Linked DNA regions of Bombyx mori. The protein of the gene in region 2 purifies or fractionates together with the protein of the main gene of each other region. This does not show direct contact. Links are inferred from orthologs where the notes say so. Each region holds a gene or a part of one and is shown on either strand. Other genes may lie near its edges.

What was found.
Region 1: the proteins of chromatin assembly factor 1 subunit A (region 2) and chromatin assembly factor 1 subunit B purify together in Drosophila melanogaster (affinity purification with western blotting; 3 studies listed by BioGRID, with this or other methods). This does not show direct contact. The link is inferred for Bombyx mori from reciprocal best matches to the Drosophila melanogaster genes Caf1-180 and Caf1-105.

The regions. Positions count from the first base shown.
Region 1 is NC_085118.1:948,119-952,417, reverse strand, and holds the start of chromatin assembly factor 1 subunit B, read right to left. Parts: upstream 2,942-4,299; 5' UTR 2,770-2,941; coding exon 2,641-2,769; intron 2,505-2,640; coding exon 2,277-2,504; intron 1,791-2,276; coding exon 1,582-1,790; intron 1,231-1,581; coding exon 964-1,230; intron 590-963; coding exon 377-589; intron 1-376.
Region 2 is NC_085127.1:6,282,060-6,286,511, forward strand, and holds the start of chromatin assembly factor 1 subunit A, read right to left. Parts: upstream 2,870-4,452; 5' UTR 2,672-2,869; coding exon 1,670-2,671; intron 992-1,669; coding exon 784-991; intron 346-783; coding exon 1-345. Other genes in the region: uncharacterized protein LOC101735561, read left to right, coding at 3,734-3,761, 4,293-4,372.

The DNA.
Region 1 (4,299 bases), on a different chromosome or scaffold from region 2:
ATGGTCTAATCTCATGCTTGTTTATGCATTTGGTGACCACAAAACAGATCCATTAATGTGAAATGTTTTATAAATTTCAAGATTTTAAATTAACAAAATCGATTATAGTAGGTATCTAAGTTTCTCCAGTTGGTAAATTTGCGACTCCTTTTTGGCTAAGATCCATTCTCATGGGAGTTCACATGCCTCAATCGGTCGAGCAGAAATTTTCTTTAATTTTACAAAACTATATCACTAGTACATCATGGATGTAATGTTATGAACTTGATATGTTGAGCATTTAATAAAAAAAATATTATTGGTATCTATCTGTCAAGATTAAACCACTATTACTAATAATTTTTTGTTATTTTGTATTATCAAGATAGTTGGTTACCTAGTGTAATGTACATTGGCAACTATGGCTATGGGAGTCTTCTGTTGTGTGTCGTACACCAACACGGAGCGCCTGGTCCCCACGGCCAGCACGTGCCGGGCTCCGCTCGGGGACGGCAGGCGAGGCGCGGGCCCGGCGGCGCGGGGGCGGAACCCTATCGGCGACCAGCGGGTCACCAGGGCTGGCTCGCCGCATGGTACCACACACACTGGGCTGTAACGGACAGTTATATGAGTGCCTCTCATGCAACATGCTGCAAGTGAAGATGCAACCATGAGCCTTGGTTAAATAAATTTTTGCATTATAGATGAGTGGAAGCTATTAGCTGCTATTATTTATTTAAACTAGATAAAGAAATCTTGAACTGAAAGTCAACTGAGTTCTCCAATTGCAACATATCACATGCCATACAAATAAATCTGATATTTTCTATCAGCAGAATAAAACTGTTGAGCTTGAACATTTTTAAAACAACCTTATCATGCAATTGTGTGCAATTTCAAATCTGGAAACCGTATTGAAAGCAAAAAGTTAGCTTGTCACATCTGAGTCTATGGATTCTGAAAACAATGAATTAAAATACTCACATTTTCAAACAATATCTCGTATAGATATACACGGCATTGATTGGTTTTACATCAGGTTTTCCCTCTGGCTCCACTCTCCCTGCTGGAACTGCAATGTATAGGCCGTCCGGGCTGAACTGCAGTCGTCGGTAATATGTTTGGAGTGTGTCATCATGGTATAGCCGTTGTCTGGAGCCGTGGAGAGGATGGTCAGTGGGGAACGGGAGAGATGCTTTGCTGCTTCTTGATACAACCTTCTTGGTAGATACATCAAATGCTCGAAACACTCTGTTGATATGAACTATTTACATTACATTTTCAAGTCTTTTATAATATTGAATGAATAATCAATTAATCAAATTAGGATTCCCTCTACTATGAGAAACAAAAACTCATATGAACATATTAATATAGATTTAAACACCTAGATGCAAATTGCCCAAAGCAGGCATCAAGCCAACAATCCTGTCTAGCAGTCAAGGGTGCTAACTTTGTTATTCCAATCATCACCTTTTTGATATTTTCATCAGGTATAGAAGCTACTTTTTTACAACTAATTTGATATCATTAATATTTGTAACTACTTATGATGAGATTACTCTGTTAAATTATTGTTTTAAATTATTATTTTCAGCTTACCTGTCTGTACTCGTAGATGTTATGTACTGTCCTTTAGGATCCCAACAGACACCTTGCACAAACCCTTTGTGGTCACTAAGTATAGTAGTGTAACGAGCTCTGTGTATGTCCCAAACAATTAATTTGTTATCTACTGAGCCAGAAGCCAACTGTAAGCCGTCCATACTCCAGGATATGTCAAGGACATCTTCCATGTGCCCTCGAAGAGTCTGTTTTGTGGAATAATTCTTACCATTACTCTTTATAAATTTGAAATAATTATGCTATTCATGTAAACATGACAATTACTGCATATTAATTGTATTTTAATTCTGTTTTTGTTCAGTACTTTTGACTGACTGTAATTAGGTTAGCTTTTTAAAAGATGAAGAATCAGCCACCACATTTCAAAATAGCCACATGTTTAGGTAAAATGTGTACGTTTAAGATATTTGTTACAAAAATACTATTGCAAAATGAAAATCAGGGTTTCTGGGCTTTCTTTGGTTTAATGCATTTTTAATGACATTTTGAAAACAGAATACCTATAAGTTTTTAATAGCAAACCAAGAGTGAAATTTTGTAAAAAAAAAAGAAAGTGTATACTTGGTATTGGTTGGTATGTAACTGAAAAGAGATGAGGCTAAGAACAATTGGGCATTACGTGGAATATGTATAGCCAGATTATATCTAGTAGATAATGAAGAAAATCTCACCTTATAAACAACCCAAGTTTCTTTATATTGCTCCTCACCCTCAGTTGCCGGAGAAAGTTCTTCCAGTTTCTGCTTCCAAATGAATATGATGGACTCATCATCCCCAGAAGCCAATAACTGTCCATTAGGTGACCATCTCACTACATTCACAGCTTTCTGATGCCTTGTTAAATCAGCTGCTACTTCAAGATGAACTGAACCCGTCTCCGTGGTTGATAAATACCAGATCTAGTATTAAAAAAATATAGACTTTATATCCTACTTTAGTATTAAATTCAATTTTTTTTCAATAACATTAGTATAAATAATCGCTGATAAAAATATAAATGATTATTTGTTCGTTCTTATTAAAAGATAGTTTTACCAAAACGTGTGAATCTGTTCCACCGCTGGCGAGTCGTAACGGGTCATTCGGTTCCGCTTTGGGCTGAAAATCTACACTTAGAACTGGATCACGATTATGCCAGGATATTTCTGGTATCGCAAACTTCATTTTTTTCTAATATTTAAAATTTAATAGAAATGGTAAACGAAGTAATAATATAAATTTAAATCCAAATAAGATAAGATGTATTTCAATCAATTTCTACAATAATTGTTAGGAAGCTAGCTTATTTTTACTGTTTATAGTTATTTGGCGCCAAAACAAAAGTGTCAAATTGAAGTTTTACCTAGCGGTAGTCCCATTTTTTCAACTGGAAAAGCGAAGGTATCGTACCGTACACCCCAATATTCTGTAAAATCTGTTTTATGAAAAATTTAATGGAGCAAAATGAAATGAAGTTGATGAATTTTAGATATTATTATTAATCAATTAAAATGAAATTAAAACGAGATTGTACGGGATGAAATATAGTCTAAGTATTTGATTTTTTACTGAGACTTTTTCGTTGAGAGAAGTAACATAAATTGTTTTTAATCTACACGAAACTAGATGAATTGGAATTACACAAAACGAAGTAAGATGATGAAGGTGTTTAAAAGTTAAACGTATAAAGACCTTTCATGTAGGGTATATTTAATTAAATATTCTTATTCACTATGGTTTTTATGTTAATGTCACAATCAGTTTTATAAAGGCTTTTAGATAACTATCTATCTTTTAGGTTTATGGCGTTTCCTTTTAGATTTCGCCAATGTCAAGTGTATTTAATACTCTGCTTTCTATAGCGGGCACCGTGATTTTTTTTTTATGATAAAAAAAATCTTCTCTCCACATTCTGTCACTGTCATCTGTCTTTCTTCCTTTTCTTCTTCAACTGCCTCCAAGTAGACCTTTTCAGTCGTCATAAATTTGTAAGAGTACGCTAATGTCGAATAAAATGTTTTCAGGTTCATCCAAAAGGTCCAGTAAGCTGTCATAAAATTTCTACGATTTCCCTTAGAGGTTATTCTTAGAACTGGCCTTACTATTTGTAACCATCATAAGTTTATTAAAAAAGAATAGTTGTTGCCTAACAACAAGTAGTTAGTTGTGTTGTTTCATGTAAAAATAAAAAGTCAGTATATACATCCGAAGATTATATTTTATTTTTTAACACAATTACCACAGTTATATCATTAGCCTGCCCGCTAATTTTCTCTCTGCTTCTGTTCAGTGGGCTGCGATTCCGATCCGGTGGTAGATACAACAAAGCACCGCTCTTGCTCGGCCCACTGGTAGCAAATCCTTTCAGGTTCGGCTCCGTGAGATTACCTACTAAGCGTGCGTTAAATAACGCATTAGACTATCGCTGCCGACGATTATGTAAATAAAAAAGCCAGTGATGCCATTTAATTTATTATTAAGTGTCACTATAACAAGGCTGGGCTAAGCCAGATCTCGGAAATAAGTTAAATCAATAAAATTTAGTTGATTTAATATTTAACTAAACATTTAAATGTGTTGGACGGTTAAATTTGAGGGGACTTGGGTTATGTAGGTGAGGGGCTATTTAAAAAACACTCTGCTTCATGATTAATATAATTATAATGCAAATACTTTGAACACTGTTACACCATTATAATATTTTATTTTTATAAA
Region 2 (4,452 bases):
CCTTAATAAAATTGTCCAACTGATGTCTCTTATCATCACTCAATTCAGCTCTAGTTGTAGGTGCTAATCTCATGTCTAATTTTAAAGTAAAACTAGATAGCATATTATTTTTACTGATTGAACCAACTGTGGCTTGGTCTTTATCCGACTTTTGTTTTGGAACAAAAAAATTGACAAATGCTTCAACAGTCTTTTTCTTTTTGAGTTCTTGTTCTTGTTTTTCTAATTCTAAAGCCTCTTGTTTTTTTCTCTTCTCTTCCTCCTTTGCCTCTTTTTCCTTTCTTTTCTGTTCTTCTTTCTCTTCTTTTTCTTTCCTTTTCTGCTCCTCTTTTTCATCCCTTATTTCTGGAAGTTAATTATATAAATGAATTGCTGTTCGTTAGTCTCGCTAAAACTTGAGAATGGCTGGATCGATTTGGCTAATTTTGATTTTGAATTATTCGTGGAAGTCCAGAGAAGGTTTAAAAGGTGAATAAATATGAAAATGCTCAGAATTATATAAGAACAAACAATTTTGTTTTTCCTTTGATGTGTCCCCCGTGGGACAGATTCTTTTTGTTTGTTTTAAGTTTATTTTATACAAAAGTTTAGGTCTTTTATTTATCAATTGAGGTCTGTCACTACGAAGTCTGCTGGGTCAGCTAGTAATGAATAAAGATATAAATATACCTCATTTTTGTATAAACTTTACTAATGTTCAAAAACGAATAAGTAACTCAAAACATGGACTTTGACCCTTTGATGTGATTTGATAATGTGTCTTAGATTATATTTTATATTTACTTTTTTCAAGCTCTTTTTGTTTTTCTTTCTCTTCCTTTTCTTTTCGCCTCTGTTCCTCTTTTTCCTCCTTTTCCTTTTTTCTCATATCTTCTTTCTCTTGTTTTTGTCTGGCTCTCTCATCTTTCTCTTGCTGTCTTTTTTTCTCCCTTTCCTGTTTTTCTTTCTCTCTCTCTTCTTTCTTTTTGGCAGATTCTAATTTTTTCTGTAACTGTTATGGAAAAAGGATATAATAATGTTCTACACAGTATAAATGCAAGTCTAGATAATTTAAAGGATAAGACCTATGTACAGGTCTATTTGGGTATAACGTAAATTAAGTAAGTAAAAATAAACAAAATTCGCATGATTTTGTTCATTTCCAATTTATAAACATTTATATCACTGTATAACTGGATAATGTTCACTATTATATCTATTGGCCTCTGAAACCACTCAACATCGATTGAACCTTGCACTTGTCTACCCATCTAGAGAAATAAAAATAATATTAAATTATATACAATGATAATTAAATATTACTCTAGATGCAACAATATGTTTGTTAGTGTGTTTTTCTTTCACAACAAACATTTTTATGAGACATTTTCGGGTTTCAGTGACAGACTAAAAATAAATAAAAAATTATATTTCAGCTTTACATGAAATTTAGTCCTAAAGAAAAAACAAATACAATGAGACTATGTGTTGAAACAAATTATTAAGGCAAGCAGCAGAGAAACAGGGTATGGTCATAAGCTAAACTAATAATTATCAAGTAAGACAATTTTTTATCTTAATTGTAGAAGTTTCTCCCTCATCTATGACTCAATACATCAAGCTTATAATGCAGTAACATAATATTAAAAAGATATAAAGGTTTGTTATTTTAATTCAGTTTCAAACTTACTTGTTTAGGTGTTAAATTCTTTCTACCAGACATAGAGTCATTCAAAGATTCATCAGCCTGACTGTTTGTTACTGATGAACTCCTGCTATGTTTTGGTGATGTAGGATCTGAAGAGAGAGATTCATTCAAACTGGATACTGGAGACTTCTTAGCATCGTTACTTTGAGCTATTCTTGTTGCACTCCGGCTGCTCCTTTTTGGTGTTACATTATTCTCTTTTTGAATTTCAGCTGAAGCTTTTTCAGCAATCTTGTCTCTATCATCAGAAGCTTCTTCTAGTTCATCTGAAGATATACTTTCTCTATCTTTTTCATTCCTTTTTTTTAATGGATTCTCTTTTTGTGACTTTTGGTATTCAGCAGACTTTTCAATTTGTTCAATTTTATTAGATTTAGATTCTCTTGGAGATTTCCGGCCATTTGCTTTTGGCTCAATATCAGCTTCTAGTTTCATTTTAGTATCAAATTGATCACTAGAGTCCTCCAATATAACAATTTCGTTATCTGTAACTCTTGAAGTACTGTTACTTAAAATTGTCATGTCTACATTTTTTTCTGGACTATCCACTGGTTCATCAACATTCATTTTATCTTCATCGCTCTTTTCATCTGTGTCATTCTGATCATTTTTGGGTAGGTCTGTTGAATTCTTTTTTTTTATTTGCTTTCTTTTGGCACTGTTCAATTTTTGTTTTTTCTTCCAAGCAACATCAACCAATTTAACGTACGGGTTTACAATTTTGTCATCGCTTAACATTTTTTTCGAGTCTTTACTTTCATCGTCGCTTATTATGACCAGCTCTTGAACATCATTTTCTTTCGATATTTTTCCTATTTTTGTAACTGTTTCGGTATCAGAATTCGAAAGCTTTCTTTTCCTAGTCGGCGGCGACTTGGGTTTAGGGGAAATATCACTTATTAGTTTGAAAGGAAGACGAGCTTGTTTTAGCTTTTTTTTCGATGGAGTCACATCAGTTTCATCGAGGGGTTTGTTTGCTTTCATTTTATAAAGTTTATTAACCAACAAATCACAACATGAACCACTATAATTTGAATTTATTAACAATTTAATAGTTGTACTTATCTTTATAATATTTCAATAGTTTTAATTACACATTCTACTCAACTATGTATTCAACAACACGATGAACTTTTGACAGCTGATGAAATACGCGGGAGTTCTAAACACGTTCTAAAACCTGAATCACAGTTTTATTTTATCATAAACACTATGATGTAAGATCGGAAAGTTTTACTTTGTTATTCCTTAAGTTTGATATCCAAACCATGATTAAACTCTTTTACTCTCAGAGATAAGCTGGTTTTGTTCTGGTGATTTAAGGACGAAGATATAATATTCAATTTCTTAAATTAAGTATTACTTTCTGTTTTAGGTAAATACCTATAGTTTTTTAACGCACTTAGTGATTTTTTATTTTTAAAATTCGTCCGATCCACAGGCAAAGAAGTCATAGTCCATACAGCTAAATCTTTTACAAAAACCCTTACGTCTGTTGTAGGAAAAGTTAAATGCAACGGAATTTAGTGTTGGTCAAGTGCGGAATTCGTTTTATAGGTCAGGAAAGTTAGACATAATAATATGTATTCTGAATGGACCATTAGAGAATAAAAAAATTATAAGCTCGAAGCTCGTGTCTATGAAGTAATCTTTGTTTTTTTATTGCGTAGGTGAGTGGACGAGCTCACAGCCCACTTGGTGTTAAGTGGTTACTAGAGCCCATAGACATCTATAACGTAAATGCGCCACCCACCTAGAGATATAAATTCTAAAGTCTCAGTATAGTTACAACGTTTACCCCACCCTTCAACCGAAACGCATTACTGCTTCACGGCAGAAATAAGCGGGGTGGTGGTACCTACCCGTGCGGACTCACGAAAGGTCCTACCACCAGTAAAAAAGAAATCTCGTATTAAATATGTAGCTCTTTAGCAAAGGGCAAGCTCTGAATATTTCTATTACGGGAGTTCCGAAATTTAAACGTCATGTAAAAGTCAGTGAATAGGTAGGTACTAATTACGAGAAAGTAAAAATGAAAAATTTGAAATGCTCAACTCCGGACGTAATAGCGGAGGTAACGTTTAAAGACTTAGAGGATTAAATACCTAATATATCATTCATAATGATTGATTAATTTTTTTTTTTTTATTAAGAGACTAGCGCCAACTGCTGCCTCCGCGATGGAGTTTCAGGTTTTTTATAATTCATACATCAAAACAATTGAAATAAAAGTAGTAAATAATTGACGTATGATTTATATGATTAATTATTTATGTTTACTTTGATTGGCATCACCGCATAAACAAACTTTCATTAATTTTATAAATCTGGCATATAAACCAGTAAAAGTTTTGCCTGTAGATTGATTGATTTACAGTGTAAGATATGTCTAAGCCAAAGTGGGATTTCAGAGACATCTCTAAAGGGCTTAAAATTTTTCGTGATATCTTGTTAGGTCGAAAACACAATCTTCACGGACGATTTCCTCCTCTTATGTCCCCGAGGTCTGTACCTACGCCAGAAATACCTCGTGGCCCGGATAACCAGTATTCCAAGCAGTATTATTATAAACGAAGCGCAATAAATTCTGTGTTTCCACCAATAGTGGCACCTGTAGCGGAAGGTCCGCCCATGAACCAAGATCCAACAAAGAAAGCACAGCCCGGTGGGATCAAGCCAGATACGGTTCGATGAAGTTATAAATACGTATCGTAGTTACGTTGTAGCTTACTTTAGGAAACAGTAGGTATTTGCCCTTGTAAAAT